Struthio camelus: one gene and its partners. The protein of the gene in region 4 interacts with the protein of the main gene of each other region in a biochemical or structural test. Links are inferred from orthologs where the notes say so. Each region holds a gene or a part of one and is shown on either strand. Other genes may lie near its edges.

Evidence for each region.
Region 1: of the proteins of CHUK (region 4) and COPS5, one has a biochemical effect on the other in vitro, tested with the Homo sapiens proteins (2 studies listed by BioGRID). The link is inferred for Struthio camelus from reciprocal best matches to the Homo sapiens genes CHUK and COPS5.
Region 2: of the proteins of CHUK (region 4) and MAP3K14, one has a biochemical effect on the other in vitro, tested with the Homo sapiens proteins (5 studies listed by BioGRID and IntAct, with this or other methods). The link is inferred for Struthio camelus from reciprocal best matches to the Homo sapiens genes CHUK and MAP3K14.
Region 3: of the proteins of CHUK (region 4) and NFKB1, one has a biochemical effect on the other in vitro, tested with the Homo sapiens proteins (3 studies listed by BioGRID and IntAct). The link is inferred for Struthio camelus from reciprocal best matches to the Homo sapiens genes CHUK and NFKB1.

What each region holds. Positions count from the first base shown.
Region 1 is NC_090943.1:132,232,883-132,240,713, reverse strand, and holds the start of COPS5 (COP9 signalosome complex subunit 5), read right to left. Parts: upstream 3,002-7,831; 5' UTR 2,929-3,001; coding exon 2,750-2,928; intron 2,619-2,749; coding exon 2,384-2,618; intron 462-2,383; coding exon 333-461; intron 1-332. UniProt on the Homo sapiens protein: Probable protease subunit of the COP9 signalosome complex (CSN), a complex involved in various cellular and developmental processes.
Region 2 is NC_090966.1:522,445-529,989, reverse strand, and holds the start of MAP3K14 (mitogen-activated protein kinase kinase kinase 14), read right to left. Parts: upstream 3,007-7,545; 5' UTR 2,898-3,006; exon of another isoform or gene 2,894-2,897; intron 2,669-2,893; exon of another isoform or gene 2,533-2,668; intron 1-2,532.
Region 3 is NC_090945.1:27,039,489-27,047,039, forward strand, and holds the start of NFKB1 (nuclear factor NF-kappa-B p105 subunit), read right to left. Parts: upstream 3,016-7,551; 5' UTR 2,940-3,015; coding exon 2,819-2,939; intron 1-2,818.
Region 4 is NC_090948.1:43,888,094-43,895,869, forward strand, and holds the start of CHUK (inhibitor of nuclear factor kappa-B kinase subunit alpha), read right to left. Parts: upstream 3,014-7,776; 5' UTR 2,980-3,013; coding exon 2,857-2,979; intron 2,786-2,856; coding exon 2,691-2,785; intron 503-2,690; coding exon 388-502; intron 1-387. Other genes in the region: CWF19L1 (CWF19-like protein 1), read right to left, coding at 3,125-3,269, 3,695-3,792, 5,552-5,671, 6,452-6,661.

The DNA of each region.
Region 1 (7,831 bases), on a different chromosome or scaffold from region 4:
TTGTTCAGTAAATTTTTTTGAAAAATTATCAAGCAGAACTTAAAGAGCAGCATATAAATTTCAGCAGAACTACAACATCTTGACTGATGCAGCAAAGCTGGCCTCAGTGAACAAATGCTACTGTTCTGACCAGCGTATGGCCAGAAAAGCAAAACGGGTGATACCAGTTTAAGATTGGGATCTTTTCTGCATCATTCTTCCATCATGCAGAATACACGCTCTGAAAACATTAACCACCAGAAATCTGAAAATAATTCCCTCGTCAACATAATTTGCTACCCAGTTTTACCGTGCTTATTGAATGGTTAAATTAACTATCAGCCAGTACTTACAACGACTGCTACAAAGGGTTCTTGAAACTGCTGATTAAGCATCTGAGTACTGACATCGATCCCAGAGAGCCAGCAGCCATAGCCAGGGTGACTGTGATACCAGCCAATGGCATTTTCTAGACGGCCAACCTAACAGGAGTGAAGGAAAAGAAATCCATAGTGTGAAATGCTTCCATCCTGTAAGTAACAGCTGCCCTCTATTGGGCCTCCCAGCAAAATACAACATGGCAAGAGGATAAAAAAGAATACATAAATAGCCTAAGTATTAAATGCACAACTTAGGCTGCAAAATTATTTTCTACAAACCATGTAATCTGTATTAGCATTCTGTGTTATAGCTACTACCACAAAACAAAGAAAACCAACTCCAAGGAGCCAGTAACTCTTTTTCTAATGATAACTGAAGTACAGAACAGATCCCTCATGGTGAGATGAGAGGCAAGCTGAGACTCTTCATCATGGAAAAAAAATTTCATTGGGAGGACGTGACACAAGTATAAAAATCTCATATCTCATAGCGTATGTCAGTAGAGAATGAAAGTTTATTATTTACCACAGTAACACACCTCAGAGGCATACTGCGAGCTCATTCGTAGTTTTAAAAATAATAAATTGAAAAATACATACTTCCAAACACCAATACGACAGCATTCATTGCAAAACAATGGTATGAAGGCCAAACGTTAGATTTGATAGATTTGGGGGGACTGGAAAAATTATCAGCATAAGTTTCCAAATAATGCCGTGGCTACATCTACAAATTCTAGAAGCAAAAAACCAAACCAAAACCAAAACCAAAAAAACCCCCACAGAATGAAATCCTGCTGCACCTTTTTATTCTGTTCCTCGTTCAAAAATCTCTTACTGACTGCTGAATACTGGGTCAAATGAACTTTTGACATGACCTCATGTATCTATTTTAAAAAAAAATCTTTAAACATATCAACCTCTGAAATACGTTTACTCTTTGCTTACATTACGATCCAATCTAACTCACACTTATTTTAAAATCTTTAATTGTATATAAAGTACGAACAGAAGTACAACACTCTAAAATAACCCAAATACTATCCTCTTGTCTTCAGAGAACAGGGAAGACACCTCTAATTTTTACAGAGTTAGAATACTTTGGAATTAAAGAAAAACCAAATGGTGAACCGGGTCTACAACTATTTGGACAGTTAGAATAATTTATGGGATTCACAGTTAGCTTATTCATAGGACAGGAATGCCTAGCACTATCAGGAGGAAATCCCATGTGCCATGCTGGTTTCTAGACCAGCCACAGAGCAGATTCCCATTTCTGTTACTCTTCTGCATGTGAGAATTTTACTGCATGCTCAGGCTTAACATGACTTCAGTCTTTGAGAACACGGTGAGAAAGAGCAGACAGGCACTTCGCAGTAATTAATCTTATCAGAGTCAGTCTATTCAACATTTCTTAATTATAAACCTGGATAATTAATTGCCACTGACACTTTATTTATTCATTGGTATTTTTCTTCATAGACCCGTTCTCTTTTTTATTATGGAAGACAGCAGAGTGACTGTGTAGGAAGACTTTAGAAAGCAAGCAAGTATGAAAAAATATCATTCCCCTGTTCTACAAGTAATAAGTAGCTGTGATACGTAAACAATTTATATTTAATTTTGTATACTGCTTTTAGAAATCACTATTATATCAGTTATTTTAGAAGCATGCTCCCTCCTTATTCCATTCGCAAGCCACCAGCTGCAAGCTGCAGCCATACAAACACTTCCTGAGTGATGAAAATCAAGATGAAGGAAAACATACTCAAGTACCCGACAGCCTATTCTAAGATGGGAAAATAAACGTGAAAATGAAAAAGCTATATCAGAAAGTTTGCATCGGATAGTTTTCTGATCCCTGTTTTGAGCAGAAACACTGTAACTGGGCAGCCACTTTATCACATGAGGCAGCAGAAGGGCCTCCAAAACTCAGATGCGCAGAATACATTACCCGAATAGCTTACGACAGGATCTGTGACGACCTCACAGGGGACACAATACCCCGCACCACTTCTTTTTACCTGCTTTGCGTTCTCGATGTAGGCAGCCATGTACTCGTAGGCAGCCGCCTGGGCATTGACGCGGGTCTCCGTGCCCTCCACGGGCAGGGCGAAGCTGTCCATGATGATCATGGTTTCCCCGTCCACCTTGCCCAGCATGAGCCCCATCACCTCCAGGTTGCCGCCCGACCTGGCGTGCATCACCATCTTGAGCAGTGCCAGTGCCGAGATCTTGCAGTACTTGAAGTAATGGTGGCTGCAAGAGAGAGGCCGCAGAGGCGCTCAGGGCCGTACTGGGGCCGGGACCGACCCCCGCCTCGCCCCGGGCCCCGGGCCCTCGCCGCCCGCCCCACGGCCCAGCCCGGCCCGGCCCGGCCCCGCTCTCACTCTTTGGTCCAGGGCTTGGCCGCCAGGATCTCCTGCTGCTGCTTGCGGTCGTATTTGTAGATCTCGTCGATGCTCTGCGCCTCCTGCATGTTGTTGGCCAGCTCCCACGTCTTCTGCGCCATCCCGCTGCCGGAACCGCCGCCGCCGCCACCTCCGCTGCCCCCCGCCGCCGCCGCCATGGCCCCGCGCCGACCCGGCCCCCGCCGCGACCAACCGACGCGGGGGGAGGCGGCCGAGGCAGGTGGTACGGTCCGCGCAGGCCCGGCCCGGCCCGGCCCGGCGCCCCTCGGCAGCGACCGCCCTCCGGAGCGACAGGGGGCGCTGCAGGGCGCCGCCCGCCCGTTTCCGGGGAGGCGGTAACGCGCGCGGGACGCGCAGGCAGCTGCAGCCGTCGGAGCCGGTGAGCGGGGTGGCGGCGGGGACAGCGCCCAGTCTGCGGGCTCGGCGGCGGGGCGGGGGCGCACCCGCCCGCGCCTCGCACCCCGCGGCGGCCGGCCCCACTCCGCTCCTCCCCCCCTCCGCCCCCGCGGACGGGGCAGCTCGCTGGGGAGTGGGGCCGGCCCGCGGGGCGCCGAGCGGGGGGGGGCGCGAGAGGCGGCGGCGGTGGGGCCGGGTGTGCCGGTGAGGGCAGGTTGGGGGGGGGCGGCGGGGTCGTGGGCCCCGCGCGCGCGCGGCAGCAGCAGCAGCCGTTTGTTGTGCGGCCGTTGCCTGACAACGGCGCCCGCTGCTTAAAGGGGCCGAGCTCGCCCGCCGCCCCGCCCTACCCCGCCTCGCGCGGCAGCGGCCCCGGCGTGGGCCGCGGCGTGGGCCCCGGGGCGGCCGCCGCGGCGAGGCCGGCTGGGGGGAGGTGGGCCGGCGTTTCCCCTGGCTGCCGAGGTTGAAGTGATACGTCCGGCTTCCTGGCCCTGAAGGTTTTCTGCGGTTAATTTCTTCCCGGACCAGCGTACGGGTTCGAGGAAGGACGGCTAAACCTGTGGAGGGAGGGGGACAACCCTCCGTGTTCCTTTCGGTACTGAATTGCTTTCGCTGTTCCTGACAAGCCGCGTTGGTTTTAGTCCGAATTTATTAATTGCAAGCGACCAGGCGCTGGCTGGATTTTTTAAATATTTTTGTCAGATAAGAATTGAAAAGAAATGGAGGGAGAAGGTGCAGGCAGCGTGTTTCTGATGGCAGGAGGTTCTTCTGAGTGTCAGTCAAGGGGCTAGAGAAGCAGCCAGTACTGACGGTCCTGAAAATTTAGCAAGTACGGCTGAAACTTTGAAAAATAGTTCTTAATGAAACAATTGTGTGGCCATATAATCTCTAAGTACAATAACTAAGCATGGCGTAAAATTGCTTTTTAAAGCATCTCCCTGCCCCACGACCCTTGCTGCAGTGCTATGGACTTGGTGGGAATTGTCATCTTGCCAATTTTCCTGAGAACTGTTTTAGTATTAGCAGTAGAATAGAACAGGCAAAATGTGCCCGCTTACATGTGCTGAATTTAAATTTTGTGCCTCCCCCCCTTTTTTGATAAATAAGGGGAGAAGGGAGGGAGTAGAAAGCAGTACAGTAGACATATCTTTACGTGATAAAGTAGATAATGCAAGACACAAGAAGATACAATACATACAATACAATGGATGGACAAATAGATATTTTGAATATCTTGGGTACGGAGACATCCATTATTAACAACTGTGCTTAGGCACAGATCCTATAAAAAAAAAAAATCTCATGTTCAAACTTGACTTTGTAAGTGTCTGTATGTTTTCTGTTCGGTGGTGTATTTGACTAAAGTGAAGTTTACCTACCTGACTTTTGCTTTTATGAACGTTTCCTGTTTCAAAACAAAAAAAGCTTATGGAAAAAATGATAAAAAGTTAATCTGTTTAAAAGTAAAAATGTTATAAAATATTCTTTTTATGGGGCATATTTGGACAGTAATTGAAAAACTAGCAGAATTCTGTTTAATGTAATTTCCCTTTGTATAATACAGTGTTTTTGGAATGTTATGCAAATACATACAAGATTTAAAGATTTAAAAGTTTATTAATATATGCTATCAAAAATAAGGTTTTTAATCACATTTAGAAAATATTCTATGAGTTGGAAGGAAGAACAGTGCGCAATGTGCATTCAGACACATTGCTAGTCTGCTAAGCTAAACGGACTATTTTGAATTAAAGTAGTTTTTCAATGGCAAACTTTACTTTGGTAAGTTTGCATAGTGTTAGGAAGCTAGTTTTAAATTAATGGTTCACTGCGAATTCAGTGCTGTAAGCTCCAACTTAGCAACTGGGAACTGTGGTAGCTCCTTTTTTGGATAGAAATGTATTGTTTATGTATATATGTTGTGGTTAGTCATGGTCTCTTCACTTGCTATGGTAGATCACAAAATTGATTTATTAATATTCAGTGAGATATTTGCTTATATGCTGAAATTTTTTTGAAATGCCTCACCTTCAAGTGGTCAGTGCTTTGCTTATAGTACATAAGAAAAATGTTTGTCCCCCCCCCCCTTGCCTTTCAGTATAACATACTATTTTCAGTTATCTCATAAAGTTTGCACTTATGCATATTCTAAGAAGATCTCTCTGAGGGAAAGGACATAAGACATAACATGTATAGCTGTTTCCTCAAAGGCATTTGGCCACATTTCCTTGCCGTTTGGCTGTATTAAAAGTATGCTGAATCAACAGTGCTGCAGTGTTGGTCAGCTGAGTTTATGCTCCCAGGCCTGGAGTTGTGAATTTTCTTGGTAATCAGTTGAATGTCTGTAGTTTGGCTGTAACTTAATCAGTGGTTTGTCTTTGTTTTTAAATTTATTACGTTGCTCTTTTGAGCAGTATAGTAAAAATGAAGAATAATAGAATGCTCACTTTGTTCCTCATTCTAGGTAGAAAATGCACTACGAATGTCTGTTCCTTTCCTTACACAGCCTTTCAAAATACCATTCCGATACACTCAATTGAAAATAGTTCTAGTGTTCATAAATATTAGCTTAAGTGAAGATCAGAACTTTGGATGTTTCAGTCAAACTTTTGGGGAGGCTTCTCACAGTGCTTCCCTGTATTAATTTTCCTCGTGGTGGGTATGCTGCAGTAGATAGTTGATGAGTACAACTTGTTGTTTAGTATAACAAGTTGTTATATCCATTCATTATCCTTATATAACTTAGTAGCCTAAACAGAATTTATCAGTGCCTAGAAACTTATGCTCTTTTAGATTTCATTTATCCTTTAACTTTATCACTGTGCAAAACTAATGAGATTAAAGATTTAGGACAAATCAGATGGGGGAATTTATTTTTGGAATTGATTGTCCTGTATTACCACTAGGACTTGTAAAGGAGTTGTCCTAGTTCTACCTCCTTTGTAGGAATATTAATGTTATTCTTTGATTAGTAATATAAAATTATGAAGTTTAATACATCAAACAAAATTTAAAGTACATGTATTCCTTAAGTTCAAGTCTTTGCTGTCACATGACGTTGCATGTTGACTTCGTTTATCTGTTGCAGTACTGACGTTTTATCTCATCGTTATATCTCTTCATCTGCCTTTTCCTAGTAAGTATTTAGTTCATTCTCTCTGGACATGTTATGTCATGTTTTTGCTGTTTAGTATCTTATTCTGCTGTATGTTTGTTTGTTTGTATTGTGTCCCCTGTGAGGTCGTCACAGATCCTGTCGTAAGCTATTCGGGTAATGTATTCTGCGCATCTGAGTTTTGGAGGCCCTTCTGCTGCCTCATGTGTGTGTTTGTTCTTAATTCTTTGGTCCTTTTTCTGAAAGTGTCAAATATGCTGTCATCGCTGGCTTGCTCTTTACTTTGTACAACCGATAGGCTTTGGAAAGATACTGAATTGGTATTGCTTAAGACCTGTATAAGCAATCCTGTTGCTTAAATTGTGTGGTTAGTAGTAGAGGGATTTGAAGGTTGTAATTTTCTTCTCAGTTTCATGCTTCCTGTTAAGTGTGAACTATAACATATGGACTTCTTATCTGTAGGCTTAGTTTTGCAAAACTCTGGTGGAATCGGTGAAGAAGCTGAGGCAAGGAGGAGATTAGGAGTAGGCTTGTATGTAGTCAATTTTTTTTTCTTTTTTTTCCATACTTTACTTCTTCAGTATGCAGTTGTGCAATATTTTTAGTTTTGATGAGATTATCTTACCAAAGAATGTTCTGAAGTCTAAATGTTTGGCCAGGCTTCTGTATGGTTCCATTATTATGAATTAGATTCACTTTAACTTTTGTTATGAGGTTATCTAGAAACAGCAGTGTACAGTAAATTGGACAAATGATGCTAAAAAAAGTTTCTGCTCTGAAGAACTTTCAGTTAAATAGGCAAGATATACAACTAATGGAAAAGGGATTTGATCAACGGTTCCTGTAGTATGTTTTATTACAGATAAATGGCTCGGCTGATTATAAGCCAGTGCTGCCTAATGTCCACAAAGTTATGATTCTTGGAGAATTATAGCTGTTCTTATTGCCTCTGCAAATTTACTGGTAGAAAAGGTAACGACATGCTTTTGGCTCCAACTCTGGAAAACACGATGCATGTGTGTTACGATTTTCTTTTTTAAATAGGCTTGATCATTTTAAAGATTTCTTGTAATAGAAAATATAACTACCTAAATGGCTGTTTGATTGGGTCCTTACTTCAGAGTACATGTTTATTTTGCAGTTTTGTTGCCTAATCATTACTTTATTGTTGCTATTTATCTTTTCTGTTGTTTATCTTTGATTTTATAATTCACTAGCAATAGGCTTTTGTTAATATGTAGTGAAGGGCAGTTGGTAGACTTCCAAAGCATTATTAAGTTTTTAAGAAAACTTTTAGCTAAGTTAGAAGAAAGATTAGAGAAATATCAGGATTTACCGTAAGGAGTTTCTGATTTTCCTCTCAGGAGAAACTTCAGGTACTGTCCTCAGGGCATGTATTTCTTGAGGTGGGCTTTCCTGTAACCCAGCAAGGATCATTTTTGAGGGAGATGTGTGAGCATGACTTGACTACTGTCTTAAGCAACTGTAATTGAGCTTAAAGTTTCTGCTGCTGTGACGTAGATGCAATGTTTTCTCTTTTCTGTAATCTTAGA
Region 2 (7,545 bases), on a different chromosome or scaffold from region 4:
AACAGTGTTATCTATGTGTCTCTACGAGGGGCACCTATACAGTTTTGTCTGGTTCCTCTAGGTCTCTCGTGTACTGTCAAATACTGTCACATAAAGGTTTACCTGAAGATGATCAGTTGCTTCTACCTAAACCACCCCAGAACTCTGGGATCAGTCTGAAGGATTTCACTATCAGTATTATGTTCATGAGTAAGCTTTGTTATAAACGATAATAAATATGTAAATATATTCTTTAAAGTGGTTTGACAGGAAATATTTCAAAACCCAGTTTCAGCCATTTATGTTGCATACTATAAACATCAGGATAATAAGCTTCAACTATCTTTTTAGTTGCCAGACATTAATATATTGCAGTAGTTTGATTACAAACTCCGTAGGAAAGTATTTGATTGAGTTTAATCAATAGTAGAATTTTCAAAAGTGTCTAAACACATCTATCTTAATTTCCTCAAGATTAACTTGGGTACAACTCACCCCTTAACAACTCTTTTCATGTTGTTGAATGAGGATATGAATAACACCATTTACCCAAAGTTTATAAACATCACTGCATCCCAATTCATTCAAACCAGTTAATTTTTCCAAACTGCTCTGCGAACAAGTATTACAGAAAGTATTAGTATGAACAAACTTAAGTCTGACAAAGTTTTGTTTTCAAATCTGACTTAGCTGTTTACATATAAGCTTTCAGAACACAGCTTAAAAACATCCTGATTTTTAAGACCCATTTGTGGAGTGAAGCTATTTCCTCAATTAGAGCAAGATGGTATATAAGCACTTAAATGGACAACTTCTGACATTAACCACAAACATGCATTAAAATTAATTCTGCCCAGGTAAACAGGACCAAGCTTTCACCAGTTATTACTGAACATTGCTGTGTGGCTTGAGATTTTCAACTCACATTTACAAAAAAGCCATGTAAGGCTACAAGAAAGCAGTGATGTTGAAACGCTAGGCAAAAAGGGAATTTCTGTTACTTTTAGTATGAATAGGAGCTTTTCTACATAAGCTTAATTCATCCTCTATCTTGTGAGCTCAATTATTACAATTTTATACTAGAAACGTGAAGAAAACTGACAAGTTTCTTTGTCCATTCTGAGCAATACTCCATGAGAGAAACTCCCATTTTAATTGCAGCATCTAAGACCCGTCTTTTAGACGAGCTGCGTTCTGTATTTTTCAGGGCCTAGCAAGTTAATGCTACTAAAATGTGGTTAGCAAAGCTCAATTTCCTATAGATTTAAGTCTCCCATGCCTAGGCCTCTTACCCCTCCTTTTGGTCCCCCAGTGCATCCTCTTGATCTCTCTTCCACAGCATCTCCAGACCCTTCCCTAATCCAGGTCTCTTCCACTCAGAGCCAGCTGCTCTTCTTGGAAGTTGGAAAATTTTCTGTTGTCCAGACCTTTCTCCTTTTGTCTCCGCCAGCAAATCTGACTGACATTTGCCAATGAGCTCAAAAGTTGCAGGAGAAAGGCTAAAGAGACAACAGTCACGTTTGCCTCCTCTCCTTCAGAGCAATAATTAGTGACCATATCACTCTTACAAAAGCTCTGCTCTAACTTCTCATATTTAACACTGCTACTCTTTATCCCAATTCTTCTTTCAAAGCTCGTTAACGCCAGTGATGTTGGATCAGGTCCCACAAACCCTTTTTTATTTTTGTTTGTTACATGCTCACTTGTTATAGTCCTTCTTCACAGCATACTATTCAAAGACTCAGTCTCTCATAACAGTTAAAATTTAATAGTTAATAGCAAATGACTCATTCCAATGGAATCTAGTGGCTGTGCCAATAATAGATTTTAACTTAGTTAAAACGCAATAAAGCACCCCCGACAGACACATATTTGAAAGCCTGATTCAATTACTCTCATCACTATTGTTATAGCTAAGAAGGTGCGACTTATTACTCATAAAAGAGTTCAGAAAGACAGTTTAAAAAGAAGTTTAAAAGTTGTTTATGGATGCTAGTTTCAGATTGCCGCTTCTTACATGTGCAAAGCCCTGAACACATGTTTCTAATGTAACTGATTAAGTAGACAGGAAGCATTTGAGATCAACCACAGCAGTGACTTATTAATCAGCAGAGAAGTATTTTAACCTTTTGCCAGAAAAAAAAGTTGTGTCAAAGAGAAGTCCTATGGCTAGATATGAGAGGTGAGTAAACAGACAGTTTAACTGAACTTCAGATCTTATTCAGTTGTATATTTTGATTAACTGATCTCAAGCCTGCCTCACCCTCCCCTCTCCATGGTCAGGAATAGCTTGGTAAAACTGCACCTAGCAACATCCAATCAAAACAGCAAAGGTGGCAACTTAATTTCTTATCTAGTCGAGCGCTCCAAGACAGACACAGCAGGCAGGAAATCAGTTAACTCCAGAGCCAAAAAGGAAAGTTTGCTTTCGAGCAGAAAAATAACATCGCAGCTCAGAAAAAGAAGAGAAAGCAAGCGAGCGGCCCGGTGTTCTCTGGAGACGCCAGCAGCGCAGGCGGAGAAGAAAGCAGCCGCTCAGCGAATCCAAGCTACCTTGGGGTGGGGCAGCCAGGAATTTCGGGGACGGCTCCGCAGGGCTCCGGCGGCCTCAACGGCCGCTCCAGGAAGCGGGCGCCGCCCGGCCCGGCCGCCGCTCGCCGCCTCCGGGCTGCCCGGCGCGGCGCGGCTCGGCCCCGCCCGCGGCTCCTCGCGCACCAGGAACGGCCACAGACGGGCGCCCGCGGGCCTCAGGAGCGGCGCGCCGCGGCGAGGCCGCCGCCTGACAGCCGGGCTCGCCGGTGAACGGCCCGAGCACCGCCCCGGCCCCGGCCCCGCCGCCGCCCGGCGGAGGCGCGGCGCGGCGCGGCGCGGCTCCCCTCCCCCCGAGGCGGGCGGGCCCGGCGCGCAGCCGCACCTACCGCTCCGGTGCGCGCGGGAGGCTCGGCGCGGCGCGGCGCGGCGCGGCGCTGCCACTCAGGCTCCCTCAGCGGCGCCCCGCACACTGACAGGCGCTGGCCGCCGGCGGCCCCGCCCCCAGCGCCGCTCAGCCAATAGGCGCCGCTCGGACCGCGTGGCCTCGCCCCGCCGCCCGCGCGCCGCGCCACGCCGCGCCCCGCCGCCCGCGCGCGTCCAACCGGCGCCGGCCGCCGCCGGGTGCCGCCCCGCCCCAGTGGGGCAGGGGGCTGGCGGCGAGCGGCCGGGGGCGGCTCCAGTTTCCCAGAAGTGGGCAGGGCTTCCTGCAAAGTGCTCCCCGCCCCGTCGCTTCCTCGGGGTGCAGTGCCGTGCCGTCGCGGCGCCTGCGGAAGGTGCCCAGTGCGCAGGCGCGGGCCGGGGGCCGGGGGTGGGGGGAGAGCGGGGGGAGTGCGCACGCGCCGAGTGACCGTTAAACGGCGGCGGCCGCGCGCCCCTCCCCGGTCCTGGGTCTTCTCAGGTAGCGCGAGCCCTGGCGGCCTCCCTGTTCCGCCGCGGGCCCGGCTCCGTGCTGCTGGGGGCGGCGGCTGGCTCGCTGGGGGAGCGCTTTCTCCTCGTGGTTGTGCCTCCCGTTAACTGCTCGGTTTCCCGCCCGGGGCCGCTCTGCCCGCCCACGCCGAGCCGGGCAGCGCCCTGGCCGCCTCCCGAGCGCCTCGCCTCTGCTCGCCGCTCCCCGCCGCCTCGGGAGAGGGGGTTGCAAACCACCCAAAACGGCGCGGGGTGGCGGTGCTCCATCCAGGCCCCTGGGTTTGTAGTGTGGCTGGTGCCATGCTTGTCCGCAGCAGCTTCTCCGTTGTTGCCACATCTGAGTAAGGATGCTGGCATAAAACTGAAGGGCTGTAACTTTTTTTTTCCCCTCAAAAACTTAGAGGAATTTGTCTATACAGGTATTAGAGAAAAGTATAACTTTGGGAAAATCAGAGTTGCTATGGTAGCAGGGAGTCAATAAGCTGAGTTTTTTGAGGTTTAGTAGATTTAAACTGTCCAGTTACTTGTGGCTTAAGAAACTGTGACCTTCTCAACACTTACTTATATGTAACCTATTAACTTTTCTTCATTCTCTATGCCGAGACTTTATGGGATGTCTTTTTTTTTTTTTTTTTCCTCTCCTTATAGTTAAACACCCAAGAGAAAGGAAGAAGGGATATGACAGCTGTGTCAAGGCCATGGAAGAGAAGAGGATGGTTAGCCTTCATCCTCAGTCACAATGGAGGTGATTGGAGGAATTGTAGTGCTGTTGTGGAGATTTTTTTTTGAATAGTGTGAGTTAGTGATAACCTTGAGAGTTTTTCCTGAGTCAGTCTCTGTTTCTTCCTATTAAGTGAAAGTTTACTTTCCAGACTCCTATTTTAGCATTATTCTTTGTTGTGACATAAGAGTTAAGAGTCTTTTGGGGTAATTTCCATTCCTTGCATCAGGGAATGAGGCGAATGGAAAATAAGATAATTTCAGAGCTCTCAAGAAAGGAGGAAATTGGACTTTGGTATGCTTGTTTAGTGCCCCTAGGTTTGGGCTCTTTTTGTGACATTTAATATGCTGTGCACATTGCAGAAAGATGACTCACAGTTGTGGCAGACAGGCTTTGTATGATAACCACGGTGATGATGCTCTGAGTGATTTTGAAACTTGCAGTAGCAGGATTCCAATTCCCTCACCTTAAGTATATGCTGGCTTAATACAGATACTTCTTTTGCTCAGACTCTATTTCTACATAGTTTGGGAAGACCCTTTCAATATTTAGGGTTCTCTAGAAAGATATTAGAACTATGCAGTGTTGAAAATAATTCAATGTCACCCACTTACAGTGCAAAGCCAGAAGTATAATGAGTCTGTTGCAGTAGGTCAGCATCACACATGTTATGTTATAGTCAAGATGTTATTTCATAGATTACTCAAATTATTTGTTATTTCCATTTTAATCATTTTCAAAAGTATTGATCAGGTGGATTTTCTCAAGGAGGTAGCCAATAGTTGCAGATGTTTTTTGGTCCGTCATCCTGGAGGAACTGAACTGTGGTCTGCTCTCAGTGGAAAGTAGGAGGAGATTGAGCTAAGGTATGGGGTAGTGTTTTTATGTGTTCGTACGCTTAGGCAACGCATGCTACGGTCACAAGAATTTGAGCTGCACAATCTCTAAGGTTCCCTGAGTGTGTATTTAAAAAAAAAAAAAAAAACAAACCAAAACAAAATCTTTGTTCTCACTACGGAAGCAGTAGGAAAACCTCAGGTGAGGGAAGAGTAGGACTAATAACCAGTCACATCTTTTTCCAACTTTTCTTGATATCTCTTAAAGCATGTGGGATGTCTACTAGTCTAGATAAAAGAACATTTGAAAACCGTCGCCTTGTTTAAAAAAAAAAAGTTTTAAAGTTGAAATATTTTTGAGAGAAGTTTTGTTTTTAAACTTCTGAGGCTCCTTGGTCAGATTGTTTTTTGCCAGAGTTGCATATAGAGGTACTTATGACCCTAGCTAATACATTTGACACTTCTAGTGCCACTTCTAGTGGAAAGAACATCAAACAGGGCTTTTGACAAAACATAATGGATCTTAATACTCATTTTGAGATTTCTGAACAAGCCACGCTTTCCATGCAAGTTATATTCTATAATTCTTATCTGAAGGCAGAAAGGAAGCACACAGGATTGAGGAGTTTGAGAAACACATGTGGAACTTGTTACAAGCCCAACTTCAATACTGAAATCCGGAATATTCTGTTTTGCTTTTGTGGTTAAGTTATGTGAAATGAATCAATGGTCTCAATCAACTTACTGGTAGAGAAGTTTGTCACTCTTGGCGCTGTAAAAACTCTTGAAAGCACAAACAAAGTGTAAATAATGTAATAATGTCTGCTCCACTAAGCAAGTGGCATTTATTACATATGGTAACAGCTCAAAGATGTAAAGAGTCCTGTTAGTCTAATTGGAAATAACACCTACATGTACTGATCTGCCAGAGCACTTCTGACACCTCTCCAGCAGGAAAGTGTATTTGGAGTAGGATGAAAATGCAACATATCCACCCCACTGAGGCAGAAACAACCGAGCTGGTGAAGGCAAGTCTGGGAGACAGGTGCTGGCTGTGACCTCTGCTCTGTCCTTACTTTGTAATTAGATGGACAAGTACAACCAAGCTCAGGTTTCTGTTGTAGCTATAAAACCCGCCAGAAGTTATCAGGGTGAGTACAAATGGAGCGAATGCAAACACATCTGTGTTCCTATTTGTGTAAACATCACAGGGTGTATCGGTAACTAGATTTAGAGGGTTAATACTAATAGCTGTGTTAATAATTGGTACAAAATAGGCATAGCCCGCCCTTTGGACGACCCATTAATGTCAAGAACTTACTTCTCAGAACATGTGCAGTGATTATAGTTAAAGCTCCAAGAGCATAGTTTCACAAAAGGCCTTTTTGTTTCTTCCTGGCCTGGTTATGGTGATCTACTGAGACCACTGATCAAAAAAGCTTTTATTTTAGAATTTTTGATCTTGCATTCCAAGTTTTGGGCTTATTACATATTATGAGTCAGGAGCAACATGTTCCAAATAGTGAGTTGTATAAGGATTTGAACCAGGGCAAGCCTTTGACAATGTAAAGTTCAGTCAAGATCTAGAGATGGGACTTAGACAGCTCATACAATCTTGTCTCCTTTCTCTAATGTTATTCCTCCAGCCCAGCTTCTGCCTCTGTGGCAGATGACCACCCCCTTTAAAAAATATATATGTATATGAGAGAGAGAGAGATAGGGGAGTAAAGTGGTCAGAATTCCATCAGCTGTTCACACCACTACCCCCAGCTTTATGCTGCTATAGTCTATGCTCTCCCATCCTAATCCCTTCTCTAGAAGTTTAGGTCTAGCCCTTGCTTTGGGCACTGCTGAGTTCACAGCGCAGGAGGTACGAGAGTCACTGCCTTGCATGTCAGGTTACAGTTAGCTTTCCCAGGGTAGCTGTTCTTAGTTCAGGGTTCTTTGTTGAAAGAAGGGTTACCTACTTTGATCTGTGTTGAATTTGAGTGCTTGGACATGGGTAGTTACATGGGACCAGCTGTGCAGAGTAACCTGGGGGGCTGGGGGGTGTGTGATGAGCCAGATTGCCAGAAGAATGGTGTCCCCCAGGAGTTGAATGTTTATGCCTAAGCCTGCCCTTTTTGGAACTGTGGTGTACCTATAATGCATGGGAAGGGCTCCTTCACCAGGTAGTGTGGGTTAGATATGACAAAGCCATACTGTGTTCTGTGCTCCTGTGGGTCACAAGATTGATAGGTCAGCTGCAGGATTCAAGTGAACAGCCTTTTGATATGGGTGGAAGAAACTCAAGCTTTTAAACACGGGGTACGTGGATTCAGACCCTGCCAGTTTTGTTTGTATCATTCAGAGCCAACTGAAGAGTCAGAATCTCTAAAATAGGGTTCTCAGCTGTTTCATTCTTCAGAACTCAAACCTGAAGCAACTGGCTGTGAAAACTTCACCATTGAAAAGTTTCACTTCCCAGATAGTGCTGTGCTATAAATATCCTGTGCAGTGGGATATGACATTTACTCCCACACATGAGACAGAGCATGCTTTGTGACTTGCATACTTTGCACCTTAACCCTT
Region 3 (7,551 bases), on a different chromosome or scaffold from region 4:
AATGCCTGGCTGACCTAAGGGCACAATTAATGACAACTGTAATTACGATGTTATCAATGTAGAACTTTTAAAAAGGCTACACAGCTAATTTAATGGACATAAAATTACAACTTCCATTTCTAAGATACCTGGGTCAGAGCTGACAGTGACCAAGATCAGAATTCCTCCTATCCATTACCTAACCCCAAACATTTTCTCCTCTTGTTTCATACCTATGTTATTTTGTCACTGAGGACCAAAGAAAAACTACCAATATGTAGAAAAAAAAGTTTCAAAGAAGCTAAATTTAGACTTTACTTTAGTTGCTTAAGGAAATAAATATGTTTTTCTCTCTTAAGACAAACACTTCTGAATCTAGAGCTGGCAAACATTTTCAGCACCGAAAGGTGGGAACATTTCAGCGGGTAAATTTTGAAGTGATCTATGAAAACATAGAACAACGAAACAGTATCTCTAAAGACTGCAGAATTTTCTGATCAATAGCTACAACAGCCTACCCTAAGTTAGTAAAAAATACATTGTTTTTCACTGTATCTTTGCAACTTCTATACAACATTTAGTATGGGTGTGTGTAACTACAGAGGCAGTCTGCACCACCGAATCTTAAACACCCCCGGCAGTACGGAGCATCCTTCATAGCGAAGACTCAAGCGTCTTCACACTGGGTTCCTCTGCTTCCAGGGTCACCAGTGCTGATGGGCAGGGTAACACAAATTTCCTAACTGCACTTATTTCTGGACCTTGCATGTCTCCATGTGACAGTTGCTTGGGGAGGTGTTGGGAAAAGGCAGTGCTGGAAAGCAGGAACTTTGCTTCTCATGAAAATTCAGAAATTTATTAATTACCAAATTCAAGTCAATAGCTGGTTGTAGGTATCCGTTACTGAATGTTATGAAATCACATAACAACATCTCACTGAAAAAAGCAAATTACATTATTTTTAAAAGATTAAGTACATAATAACATTGAAAACTAATTAAAATAATTGTTAACTTTCAATAAACAAAGCAAGAAATTTTTATACCTTACATATGAACGAAATATTGCTGTCTGTTTTCTACCCTCTCACCCCCTACCAAGGTGAGAACAAGGTATTGCTCTCTCCTAGCACACTTTTTTTTCCAGGAAACTTTTCTGATTTCAAATGTATACCAAAAAAACTCCATCTAGATGCTAATTTAACTACGCATCTCTATCAAGTATGAAGTTTATCTGCTACAGTATTATTTTTTAAAACACACAACTTGACACAAAATGAAACAAAGCCATTCTCAGTTTCATAATCTTAACTCTATCCAAAACGTACTCATTACTCACAAGAGAAACCAGTTTGATTTGTGATAACTACTGTTAAATGGACACTTCTTTCTTGAAAAAGGGGACAAAGGGTGGAAAGGAAAAGGCTTTCTTTTTCCATCGACTGGTTAATACTTCAGTTTAAGTTGTTATTTAACAAGTCTTGCGCATATCTCAGCACTGAGTTTCCTTGAAATTTCCAGGTATACCCTCTGGGGCAGATCCTGACAATAAAAATTCAGCATAAATGTCACTTAAATTACTGAGCCAGGAAAGCTTAGAGAAGCTGAGAATCTACAGGCTCATTTTTCCTCTTTCATTTTCTCAAATGTAGTCCTAACTGTACTGCTCAACTAAACTGTAGTACAAAACACTGCAGATAACTAAGACGTCATTCTAATTCTTTCATAGAATGGGCAGCTGCATTCTCTCTTGAAAATATAAAAATCTGTCTTTAAACCAGAAATATATTCTGACTAGCATATTATTCCAATAGTTCTAGAATATCAACAAAACCCAGACCTACATTTTCAACCGAGTTGTGCGAGCTTGACAGTGGCAGTTTAAGGCTGCCTAAGGTGGTGTAGCACCTGACTCTAGTGAAGTATAAGGTGATGTAGGGTATAAGGCGATTCAGCAGAGAATACATTCACTTAATATTGACTTAATGTTATTGTTAAAAAGAATAAATGAAAGGAGGACTTTGAAGCATAGAATTAAACATGCCTAACACATTATGCGCTTTAAAAATATGTGTTACTTTTCAAATGTAAAGATTAGAGCAAAGATTAGAGTATTTTTAACATAGAGTATTAGAGTATTAGAGTTTTTTATTAGATTAGAGTATTTTTAACCCTTAGCAAAGATTAGAGTATTTTTAACAGGAAGCTGAAATGCAGCACTGAAGTTGTGATGACCTCTAGCCTTAATCCTGCAAATGCTTACAGGCACTTATATTTTCACTCCTTTGAATGGAAGTACATACCAGTATACCGTATTAAAACGGCAGCCAAATAACACATAGCTCATCTATACTGAAGTTCAGAAATAACACTCTATTTTGTGTTCACATGGAAGAAGTCAATAGAGCTTCTTAATTGAAGAAATCAAAGCAGAAAGCGCCAACAAGTAAAAATAATGGTGAGGATGAACGGTTGAATCTCCTCGTTTTTAAGGCCACATGTAACAAAAACAACCATTCAGATCATACTTTTATATCATTGGGAGAACATTTCAGTTTCATTACTTACTAGTGCAATTTTAAAAAAATCCACCAGTACACCACATCCGAAAGCAGCTTTTTTTTTTTTTTTAAATATTCTTTGCGACATTCACTTGAAAGACCTTCTGCAATCCCCACCCAGGATCAGGACACCAAGGTGCCACCGGCAAAACCGTCTGCATGCTAACTTTTCCCCCCTTAAGGCCAGACAATGACCGTACAACCACAGATGCTCCAAACTGTTTCTCAGGTCAAGCCCGAACGCCACCTCTGAAACCAAACGCGCAACAACCAGCATACCCTTTGACAGCAAGCACCCCGCTCCCCCGTCAGCAGAAACGCCTCTCCAACTTTTTGCGTTTATTTGACAGCAGTTCACAGACATCTCTTCCAGGTTAGGACGTCCCCTTACAACAAACATCAGCAGAAAAGCCCACTGTAGCTGCGCTTTAAGAGTTATTAAACAGAAGAGTCCCGACGCGGTCCGTACGCGAACACGGAAGGCGTTGTTTAAATCCACAGCAAAAGAGAAAGCACAGTGGCAAGCAATCGCCCTGCCCAGAAGCTCCGCACCGGGAAGCGGAGGCCGCTCGTGTCGCCGTGCCCCGGACGGCGCCCGCGGGCAGGAGCCGCCTGCGCTTCCCTCTGCCGTGCTCCACGTCAGGCGGCAGCCGCGCCCGGCGGCACGGACGAGCCGCGGCGCCCGTCGCAGGTCCCCGAGCCCGCCAGGCTCTGCCCTGCGGCGCCCCCCGCCCGGCCCGGCGTCACCTCGCCACCGACTCCGCGCAGGAACGAGGAAGCGCCGGCAAAAAGGCGAACGGGCGCCAAGGAAGGGCAGGAAAGAGAGAGAGAGCAGCAAGCGACGGGCCAGGGGCTGCTGAGGGCTCACCCGGGGCAGGGCTGGAGCCGTCTCGTCGCGGTCGTCGTCGCCGTCGCCGCCGTCGTCGTCGTCTCCCGCTGGCGGGGCCCGGCCGCGCGTCCCTCAGCGCCGCGCCATGTAACCGGCGTGACGCCGTCGGCGCCGCCCGCGCCCTGGCTCCGCACGGACTTCCCCCTCCGCCGGCCCGCTGGCGAGGGCAGCTGAGCGGCACCGGCCTGCGGGGCCGCCGCCGCCTGCGCAGCCGCCGCCGCCGCCTCCACCTCCGCGGCCACCCGCCTGCCCCTGCCCCCCGGCCCGCCGCACTTCCTGACTGGAAATTCCCGCTGACGCTCCGAGAGCGCAACGGCCGCGCGGGCGGGGCGGGGCGGCAGGCAGGCAGGCAGGCAGGGAAGGGAGGGAGGGAGGCAGGGAGGGAGCGGGCAGCCGTTGGGGGCGCAGCCGTTGGGGGGGGGCAGGGAGGGAGCGGGCAGCCGTTAGGGGGCGCAGCCGTTAGGGGGCGCAGCCGTTAGGGGGGGGCAGGGAGGGAGCGGGCAGCCGTTAGGGGGCGCAGCCGTTGGGGGGGCAGGGAGGGAGCGGGCAGCCGTTAGGGGGCGCAGCCGTTGGGGGGGGCAGGGAGGGAGCGGGCAGCCGTTAGGGGGTGCAGCCGTTGAGGGGGGCAGGGAGGGAGCGGGCAGCCGTTAGGGGGCGCAGCCGTTGGGGGGGCAGGGAGGGAGCGGGCAGCCGTTAGGGGGTGCAGCCGTTGAGGGGGGCAGGGAGGGAGCGGGCAGCCGTTACGGGGAGCTGCTGTTGGAGAGGGGACAGGTAGAGAGGGCAGCTGTTGGGAGGGACTGGGAGAGAGCAGGGAGCCATTGAGGGGCAACTGTTGGGGGGGGCAGGGAGGGAGTGAGGGGGGGCACTGTCAAGGGGGAGCTGTTGGGGTGCAAGGAGAGAGCAGGCAACTGTTGAGGGGGAGCACTTGGAGGGATGAAGGAGCACCTGTACAGCACTGAACACTGCCAGCCTTCTTTGGAGGGGCTCTGTCTGTGGCTTCTCCCACCTCACTATGCTGGAAAAGCGCAGGAGGAAAAGCCTACCCTGGGCAAGGGAGGAGACAGCACGGAAGCAGGCAGGGCAGCGCAGAGCTGAGGAAGCGTCTGCCACCCACCCCTAGCTGGCAAAATCCCTCTCCCAGCTCCCAGGGCTCTCAGAACTGCTCTTGATCGGACAGGCCCTCAGCCTGAAGGAAGTTGTGTGACTACATGAGCCTTTTTGGCCTGGAGGAATTACCGCCACCACAAGAATAACCCTGTCCATGTTGAGTGACCCACGGGGATGCTGTCAAGACTTCTGTGGAGTCAGGCCTAACCAGGTGGCTGTAAATGTTTTTTTGTTTGTTGACCCCCAAAAAGTTTCTAAGGGAAGAGGGAATACACGTAGAGTGAATTTAAACCTACTAACATAATGCCTTTCTGTTACTTTCCTTTCATGGATCCTTTGTAAATGGAGGTTTATTCACTGCCCACCACCAAACATCTGAAAACAGTGCTGAGCAGGGGGTGCAGGCTACATGCCACCGTTGTTTGGTTTTTTTTTTTTTTTTTAGCTCCTGGCAGAGCAGACTTCCAGGTTAGTGGAACTTCTGTTAAATAGCACCAACCATCAATCATATACTGATTTTTTTAGTATCAAAATCTAGTGCCTTAGTACTGTAAGCAAATCTGTCAGGTAGATCTAAGGCTGAAGGGTGTACTGTCATTCAGCTGAGCGATCCTAACTGACCAGTACCATGTTTGGCCAGTCACAAATGTCGGATGAAATATTTGAATTTATTGAATTTCTTCTGAGGCTTAAACCTCCAGTTTGCTAAGAGTGAGGAGCATCTCAGCTTAGCAGCCAGTATAGCTCACCTGATGTGTGTTAGGCCAGGAATTCAACCATGCAACAGGGGAGTGCTGGTGGATGACTTTTGTTGTGCTAAGACTCTGCAAGGTAGCATATCTTCACCAAAGGATTATTCCTCTGAGAGATGAATGAGACTAGCAAAAATCGTAACTGAAAAGAAGGATAAAACAAATAACTTAATTAAATGGTGAGACTCATTTCTCTTATATTGAAGCAACAAACTCACATCCAAGGCAAAACTGAGGCCAAAATAAACAAGGTCAAATGATAAACAATCTGGGATAAAATCTGGTATATACAATAATATAATTATTAATAATTAATATTATTAATAATAATTAATTAATAATATAACCTGGGATAAACAATCACTGGGACAAAGAGACAGGGTTATTTTTTTTTACCAGACATGTCATAAAAGAAGACTATGCTGCTGAACACATCTAATCTATCAACATGGTAGCTGATTTCATCCCTGGAGAGGGAATAGATTCAGATGTTATACTTTGTGCCAAGATCTGAGTTGGAATAGAGATGTTATTTAAGATTAGTGCTGAGACTGTGAAAGGCAGCTTGGAAACACAAAGGATTTTCTCCATCTCTTAATAAGAGAACTGAAATCTCATACAGGGGATATATTCATATGTATGGTGAGAGTCATTTCCTTTATTTGGATTGTCACATCACTCTGTGATGCAGTTCTAGAAATGGATTCCCCCATTCTCTCCCCAACCCATTTTTTCATGACTCAGCATTTCTGAGTAAAATATGTTTTTCCTTATTAAAAAAAGCTACTTCTTGCACTCTCAGGACCCAATGTTCAGCTCTTCTGTGGAAGCAAGTACACTGAAGTGAGAGTGAAGAGAGAACTGGGTCCCAAAGCCCTGTGAGAAGGAAATTTAAATAGACTTTAAATATGTAAAGTGTTTCAAAATGAGATTCATTTGAAAGAAAAGGTGCCATGTCACAGCTAGTCACAGGTATGCTCACAGGCAAGACCTGTATGAACAAGTACCGGAAAATCAAACAAGGTGGAAAAGTTCCAAAACTGAAGGAGACTTAACTGGTGGATTTATTTTAAAAGGACACATTGTTGACTACTTCAGGGCTCAGCTTTCCTAGTAAAAGCCTAAGCAGCTTCCACAATGATCTAGCTTTTTTTTTTTTTTCTTCTCTCCTTTTGGTTCCCTTCTCAGGTAAATTCAAAACATAACTTTGTCTTTCTTATAACTCACCACTGTAACAGAAGCGTTACTTCCACTGAAACCCACAACAGCATCAAGCTGTAAGTCCATAATGGTAGAATTACCTTCTCAGAACACCCTGGATACATGAATTGCTTTAAAGCATGGAAACACTCACCTGAAAAGTCAAAAGATATTCTCCCCCCCCCCAGACCTGTTTACAGCCAGTAGGTAAACTAGGCAGACTATATGGACTCAGGTGCCAGCAGTTTGCTGTGATTCCTGCAGAACACAGGGCTGCGCTATTACCATCAAGATACTTTAATACCTGAACAAGATCAGCTCACAGATGAAGTGCATGTGCTTAAAGCTCCACCTGAGCAAGTAAACACTTATGTTGCTGAGCTGAGGGAGACATTGTGAAATTTTTCTAGCTGTGTCCCAGTCTCTCTTACTGGGAAGCTGTATCAGAGGTAAGGCTTCCTAGTTGCATACTTAGCTAAGCTGTTATATCTGAGTCTCACCATAGTGAAGTTATGTATGTTTAAGCTTTTTGAAATGTCATAGAGGTTAGGAGCTGCCTCTGGTTTTGCATTCACTAGGTTTCCTCTGGTAGTATAGATCCCTTCCTAAGGTGAGAAATGATAGGCACCAAAACTTTTTTTAGCCTTATAATTAATATTGCTTCTCCTCAGCAACAAAGTTTTGTTTCTGAGAATTAAACTATTCCTCCAACAATATGTGAAAACAGACAGACATGCAAGATTTGCAGAGATTTCTAAAATAATTGCTCTTCACTTTAAGTGGTTTGCACAAATGTAGAAAATAATACTGAAATATTTGTCAAAGCTTCCTGCTTTATTTTCTGTCAGTTTCTGAGATAAGTACTGGAAATGGGTCAGGATCTTTTCATTCTCTTTGGCATCATACATTTGGTACTGAAACAGAAAGAAAGGAGGAAAAATTCAAAATAGCAGGTGAGAGGCACTTCCTTTGAAATCTTTCCGCTCCTGTCAGATGAATTCTTTATTGGCCTATTAAGCCATGCTATCCAAACCCCTTCCTGGTTAACCCATTATTTCTTTATA
Region 4 (7,776 bases):
AGAGAATCAAGATCCTTCCTTGTAGCTGAAAACAACACAACACTGGACACCCGTGAATTAAAAACAGATCAGACTTCAAACAGATACAGGCACGCAGCAGCAAATTCAGTCATGGTGGGTGCTAACATCGAGGCTACAGGAAACGGCATTAATGCTGATGCGGTCCTATGAAAGGAGACACTACTTCAGGATAAAGTAATATCTGCCCTTGGATTATCCCCTCTATCACCTGGTCTCATAGCACAAGCCTCACTTCACACTTACGTTTTTTACTACACGTCTACCTCCCTCCACCTGCAATATACGTGGTTTCACAGACAATCAGTTAGGAAAAGAGCATTAACTCCACTCGTTTTCCTACGTGTGTCAAAGCAAAGCAGAACTTACCTTCCGGAGGTCACCTCCTGAACAATATTCCATTGCCAGAAGAGGAACGTCATTAACAAGAAAGTTCATCTCCTCGGGAACTTCACAGGCTCTTACTACATTGGGATGGTTCAACCTAGGCACACGGAGAGCCTGATGAAAAGTTTGACCCCTCTTTTGGGAGAGCAAGACTGCCAACCAACCGTGCTTTATGTTTCAGGTAAGATCTCCCCAAACTTACTGCTGCCCAGTACCGAAATGCATCAGATCCATACCTTGTGAATACACAAACCAGTGATGAGCAGAACATGGTCTCCAAGTCAAGATACAGGACTTGGATGATGGAGATCCAAGCTCAAGTTCTGGATTTCTGCACATTCTTGGCACAGTCATTTCATATGTGTTTCTATTTCTGCATGTAGAAGCAGTTTCCCTTTAGTCCAGAAGTTTTACAGGAATATGTTAACACTTGTGTAATTGTTCTATAGAAGTAGAACCACGCACGTAAAATAAATGTACGCTGGGAAGAAATCATTTGGGTAACTACATTCAAACAGCTTTTCCTCACTGTCTCAAAATATGCTATTCTCAGGAATAAAACACACATCTAGAAAGAAGATAAATTACTCCAACATACAAAGTCCAAAGTCTCTGGGAGTTACCACAAAAGACGCTGTAGAGGTACAATTCAGTGCCTATATTCAGACTATGAATATAGTTTTGCAGTGAAAACGTTGATAGAAACAGTGATCACCCAATACTGAATTGCAAACTCAGCTCTAACACGATACCTGCAAGTGGTTTCCTCCACTATTGATAACATAATGTGAAAGCAGCATGTATGTAAGCAGATCAGCGTGACAAGGGACAGTATGACCTCAGTAAAGCTCCATGCAGCATGGGTACAGCAAAGGGTTTTGAGTTGTTGGAGAACTACTCAAAATAAAACTCTGGAAGGGTGTCCTTGCTCCTGCCAGCAGGACTGTACATGTCATGCTACAGGATCTCCCTCGAGAGGAAGCAGTTCCCATGATGAGGAAACAGCTCCACGAGATCCCTGACACCCAGAGAAATAATTGAGCAACTCTGTCCATGAGGATGAATTTCACCTGCTCTGTTTCACAGGTATCTCAGAGTGACATGCTGGAGAGGGACTGCGGGTTGCCCAGGGTGAGTAACCTCTTCTTAAAAAGAGCTGGGAGACGTTACTCAGTAAGAATGAGAACGTCACAGAAAACGGTTATTCCCAGATCCCTAATTGCCAGATCACAGCCCGATGCACGGGCCAGTATAGAAGCACACAGGTGTCTGGACGTCACTATGTCCTGAGCAAACAGATGGACCAACACATAAGTGCAGGGGGGATGGTTATCACTAGGTCCCAATCCAACACGCTAGATGGTACATGAGAGCAGAAGGGCTCAGAACATCGGCAGATCACAGCCTGACACACCAGCTGGTACACCAGTGCAGAGGGGTTTGAATGTCACTAGATCCCAGCCCTAAACGCTGGTCACATAGGAGCCCAGGGGACCTGGCTGTCACTAGACTCCAGCTCCACACATCGGCTGTGCATGAACCCAGTGGGTCCGGCTGTCACTAGACCCCCACCCCACACACTGGCCACACGTGTGCAAGCGCTCTGACTCTCACTTAAACCCCTATTCCACATACTGGCCGTATACAAGCCCAGGGTGGGAAGGCTGGCTATCTCTAGAACCCTTGTCCCACACACCAGCCACATGCGAGCCCGGAGGGGCTGCCTGTCACTGCAGACCCCCATATCACACACAGGCCATACGTGACCACAGGGGGCTGGCTGTTACTAGATCCCCCTCCCACATACTGGCTGAATGTGACCACAATGGTCTGGCTGTCACTAGACCCCCCCATGCGAAACACTAGCCCCATGTCAGCCCAGGAGTCTGGCTGTCACCAGACCCCCATCACACATACCAGAGAAACGCGGGCGCTGGGGTCCGGCTTTCGCTAGACTCCCATGACACGTACCAACGGTAAGGGAGGCCAGGGGGCTGGCTGTCACTAGACCCCCCACTCCACTCAACAGGGTCTGGCTGTCACTAGACCCCAACCCATGCACTGGTCAAATGCAAGTACAGGGGGGTCCAGCTGTCACTAGACCCCCACCCCACACAGCAGCTGAATCAGACCCAGGGGGTCTGGCTGGTCCCCGCATGCCGGGCTGCGCGTTAGGGGCAGAAGGGGCGGCGGGAGCGAGCGCGCTGGCAGCCCCCGGGGCAGAGGCAGCCGAGGCTTGGGCGGCGCCCCGCTCCAGCGGCGGGGCCGGGCCCGGCCGCACTCACTTCTTCATGATGTCGATCTCGTGGCACCAGCGGTCCTTGTTCTTGACGCTGAGCTCCAGTCGGCACGACTTGATCGCCACCTTGGCGCCCGAGTCCTGCGGGACACAGCGCCGTCAGAGGGCCCGGCGCAGCGCGCACCGCCCCGCTCCCCCGGCCCGGCGCCCACCTGGTGCTGGTAGAGGCAGACGTTGCCGAAGCCGCCGGTGCCCAGGCGGTCCCGCATCTCCCAGGGGCCGCAGCCGCCCGCCGGCTGCCCCCGCAGCGCCGCGCCGCCGGGCGCCCGCTCCATGCCGCCTCCGCCGCCCCCCGGACCGCGCCGCAGCCACTCAGCGCCCCGCGCCACACCGCCTTTATTGCCGCGTCACAGAAGAGCGCGCGCGCGCGCGCGCGTGCGTCACGCCGCGCCGCCCATCGCCGCACGTCCGCCGCCGCCGTCAGTGCTGCAGGCCGAAGTCGAAGGGCTGGAAGTCGCGGCGGAAGGCCTGGGCGGCGGCCGCCTCCTCGGGTCGCGCCGCCGTGCACTGCCGCCAGTCGGCGCGGTGGGGCAACCCCAGCAGGGCCGCGCTCGCCAGCACCTCCCTGCAAGCACAGCCGCGTCAGCCGCCCGGCGTGACGTCACGGCGCCCCCCACACCCTCCCCCGGCCTGGCGTGAGGCCACGGCGGCCCCACACCCCTCCCCTGCCCGGTGTGACGTCACAGCACCCCTCCCAGGCCCCCCTCTGCCCGGCCCAACATCACAGTGCCCCCACAGGCCCCCCTCCGCCCAGCGTGATGTCACAGCACCCCCTCCACACTCCTCCCCCACCCAGCGTGACGTCACAGCACCCCCACACCCCTCCCCTGCCCGGTGTGACATCACAGCACCCCCCCGGCGTGACATCACAGCACCCCCACCCACCCAACAGGCCCTGTGGCATGAGAGCTGCCGCACCCCATGCGCCACTCTGCTTCACCACAGCATGAGGGAGGAGAGAAAAGGGCAAAAAACACCAAACCCCCAAACCTGCCAAACTGCAGCGGAAAGCTTTTCCGGATGCGGTGGAAAAGCTTCTCGCCCGTGTCCAGCTCCACGTAGAAATAGGGTGTCCCCGGCTGGGCTACCTAGGTGGGGGAAGAAAGAAAGGGGGGAAAAAAAAAAAAAAAGAAGATGAAACCTTGCTGAAAGATGGAGCCCAGAAAAAGGGTCCCTGCTGACCTCCAAGCAGCAGGGAACTGCCAGCTGTCAGGCCCCTTATTGCCTCAGGGGAGCAAGGGCAGCTTTTAACAGTGGCAGGGCAACACTGACTATTTTCACGCCAGTCTTCCAAGTAATGTTAAATTCATCTTGGTATTTCAAATGGGTTCTAACCCAACAGCGGAGCAGAATAACTACCCTAGTTCTGTTATTTAAAAATGACAGGGTTTCATAAGAGACTGGCTTTGAACTACAGCAAGAAAAGTGCATTTTTTGGACACTGTAACAGATGTCGATGACTACACTTGGATGATTATACTTGAACCGTGATTCAACTGAATATTAGAGTTAGGGAAACCCAAGCTTCCTGTGGATTCTTCTGCCAAGACTGACCCGAGACCATGCAGATCCTGAAGTTTAAATGTGCCTATGCACCAAAAAACCCCCCAGGGCTTTACCCTGTGGGTTGTCCAGTCCTGGCTGAGTTCACTCCAAAGCCTTTTCATCAATGAAACACCAAAAAAGGCCCTCTCCTAAGTATTTCTTGTGAGTAGCCATGTCCTAGAAGTCGGCCCCACTCTGTCAAAGAGCTGATGCTTCCTAACAAGGAGGACCCTAGCTGTGTTTTAGTTTCCTTTGCAAAGCAAATTGAAAGTCAGATTAGAACACACAAACAGGAACAAACTGGGTCAATGGTAGATCTCAAAACATAGCTCATGACAGATGTGAAGCGATGGATTGCTTTCAGCCGGGATCAGTTTGTACACTTGCATATGGAGCACCATGAGCACAATGCTACATTTTTGTGGACTAATTCTGCAGAATGACACCTCTAGTAAGAGTGATCATAATTGCCTAGCTAAGTCATCCCAAGCTAATACAGCATATTGTAGATAAAAAAAATCACATGAGAGTAAATTTACACTTCTCAGCTAAAAAAAAAAACCCTAAGTTTTCTGACACAGATATAAATACTTGTAATAGCTTAGAAAGTAACTAGCATAAATATGTGCTGTTTCTGGGTCCTGCTGCAGATATGGTCTCCCTGTGATTATTGGTTACAGAGAAGCCTATATCACTAGACTAATTTCTCTGGTACAACAGGAATATTTCTTCCAAATCCTGATCCAAGGGAATTTAAAGCTACCTGCTTTGCACTGACACAGAAAGGGCTGCTTTGGTATCACTAGCAGTGAGTGCAGCAACCTGTGCACAGAGCTGGGGTAGCAGGGCAAGGGTTATCTTTTACATTCCTGTCCTCAAAGTCAGATTTCTGCCTTACCTTTCTGCCTAACCTATATTTGGAGTTTCTCCTCGAGTAAACACTCAGCTGCTCCGAGAAAACTAAAGGACATCTTCGTAAATCGCACCAGGATAGCAGTGCTATCTAGTGCACCTAGCAGCATAGGCTTCATTCATATGAAAAGCAAGTATTGATCATCTTGGAGAGCCTAAGGTGTATAACTGCTGTAGGCAGATAAAGGCCTTAATTTGCAAAGAAGCAAATCATCTGTCATTCACTGTGACTTCATCCAGAAGTGAAAACCTCGGGCATATCTGCAACTCAAGTCTATGGCAGTCTACCTCCAACAGCTTAGTCTTACCATGCAAAGCGACCCCAGAGTGAAATACCAGCTTAGAAAGGATTGAGGTGAGGTAAACGACAGGTGAAATCTTGTCTCATACTTGCTTGATATCTGAGTGCTCTGGGATCTCTAACAATTCAATCTGTTGTTCCTGTGCCTGTACAATAAAGGACTCTTTAATGTCTTCAGAAGTACAGAGGTCCAACGGGACAGGAATCACCTGGAGAGCATGGACAACATTTTCATAACGAGAAAAGACAAACCATTTACTCTCAGAAAGCAATAAATCCATCACTGGAGCTGGTATGCTCCTCAGTACTGCTCGTCATCATCATATAAGACAGGTGAGCACCTATCTATACAGGCTTAAACTTATGAGAGATTTTTCTGTAGGAGTTGAACAGAAAACTGAAAACTAATAGCCTGAAAGAGTTCTCAGAACGGTCACCCTCCTTTCTGATCTTTGTGGTAGTTTAAGGCCGCTCTGATACAGTTACAGATCTGCCAGATACAGAAACCACCACAATAAACCACCAAGTGATTAACATACAGGAAACAATCAAATCAAAAGGTTATTCATTGTCTACCAATACCAGAGCTCTGCAGGTGTATTTCTAGATTTTCAGCCTACTTCAGTTACAGCATGAGTACCACAGTTCATGTGCCAGTATGAGCGGATAAGAGTACGAGCAAAGTCTTCCAACTCATCTGTACACATTGTGAGCTTTTTAATCAGGGTCATGAGGGGAAAAACAGTTGTATCTCACTCACTCTACACAAATCAACCCTGTGCCTGCTGTAACAGGAAAAACAAGGACTGCGGCAGAATAAGCACCCAGGCTTTGTTTTTGTTCTGCCTCTATCCTTGGGTAAGATGATTTCTATCCATACTCTGTGAAGGCACAGAGGAAAGAGGGAAGTTTGAGAGTGAGCCGTCTCTTTCAACATACTGGCATGTAAGCTCAGGTTGCGCTCTTCTGCTATTGTACTCAAATCATACCTGTAACTGCAGATGCTGACTCCTATAGTTTCTTTCAAATAAGACATATCTCTTTCCCTTGCTTCTGAAAAATTCCTTTAAGACAGATTTGTACTTGGTCACTTCTTCCACCACCTCTGAAGACAGGTCAACTACGGACTGATAGTGCCCAATAGGCAAAATCAGGACGTGATCAGGTAGTAAGCCACCCTTGGCCAGGGCAAGATAGCACTGGAATGAAACAATATATATCAGTTACTCACTCACTGCAAACACTTACCATGCTGTGAAGCTTACCTGTGCTCTCTGACAACATTCTGAGAGCATCCCACAGCCTAGCTATCCCGCATCAGTAAAGCCTCCTTTTCCATGACACTTACTAGAGATTACGTTTATTAGAAATTAATTACTAGATGAACAAGAAAAAGGCAGGGACTACTAAAGAAAAAAAAAGTGCCAGAACATGAGGAAATAAGTTATCTGAAAGAAGGCAAGTGAATGAACCACTGTATCAAGAAATTCTATTAAAACAACAAAAAGAGACAAACAAGAAAACCACTTGAAAACGTACACCTGCATTTAAACTGAACATGTGGACAAATCTGTCCCTATAGCAGTTAGCAGTGTATTACACTAGATAGGAGTAGTAATTTAGGGAAGGTAAAGAGATCAATGATTAATTCAACATCCTCAAGTACATACTGGAGACTAATAACTAAAAACTACGAATCTTCTGTTTAATTTGTATATGACAGAACTGGAACAAATCACCCCAGCGACAGTTGGCATAACTCCAGTCAGTGCATCCTGCTGCCAAGCTGTTGCCAGCTCACACTGAGTTCGCACTGGAAGAGTTTTGTCAGGTGGTAAGATGAAAACCTTTAAGGCTGGCATAGCCAAAAAAGTATTTTGTCAGCATAGTTCAGCTCCGTTGCCTGAGCAAAATAGGGCCATGTTTCATTTTTACAAGTCTGTCTATATACCTGTGTCTTTTAGGGGGAAAATGAAAGAAATTGAAAAGAAAACCATGGGTCCAAGTTATGGAAGGGCATGGAGAAGAGGACGAGGATAGTCTCACTACACAGTTCTGCTGCTAAAGCTCCATTCACTCCAGGGAATATTTTGCTGTTACACAAGAATTGGTAAAGTGTATACGGGGGGATGCTTGCGCATATGTGTGGGCGGTGTGAGCATGGTACTATACTTCTGAGCGTAGTTGTCTCAGCAAGATCTGTAGTACATTCCTTGCTTATTGATCTCAGTCTAAAACAGAAAAAATACAGGCAAAAAGCAGAGTGAATTTCCCTGCTGGACTGGTTTGTTTATTTAGAGGTGGATTTTGTTGT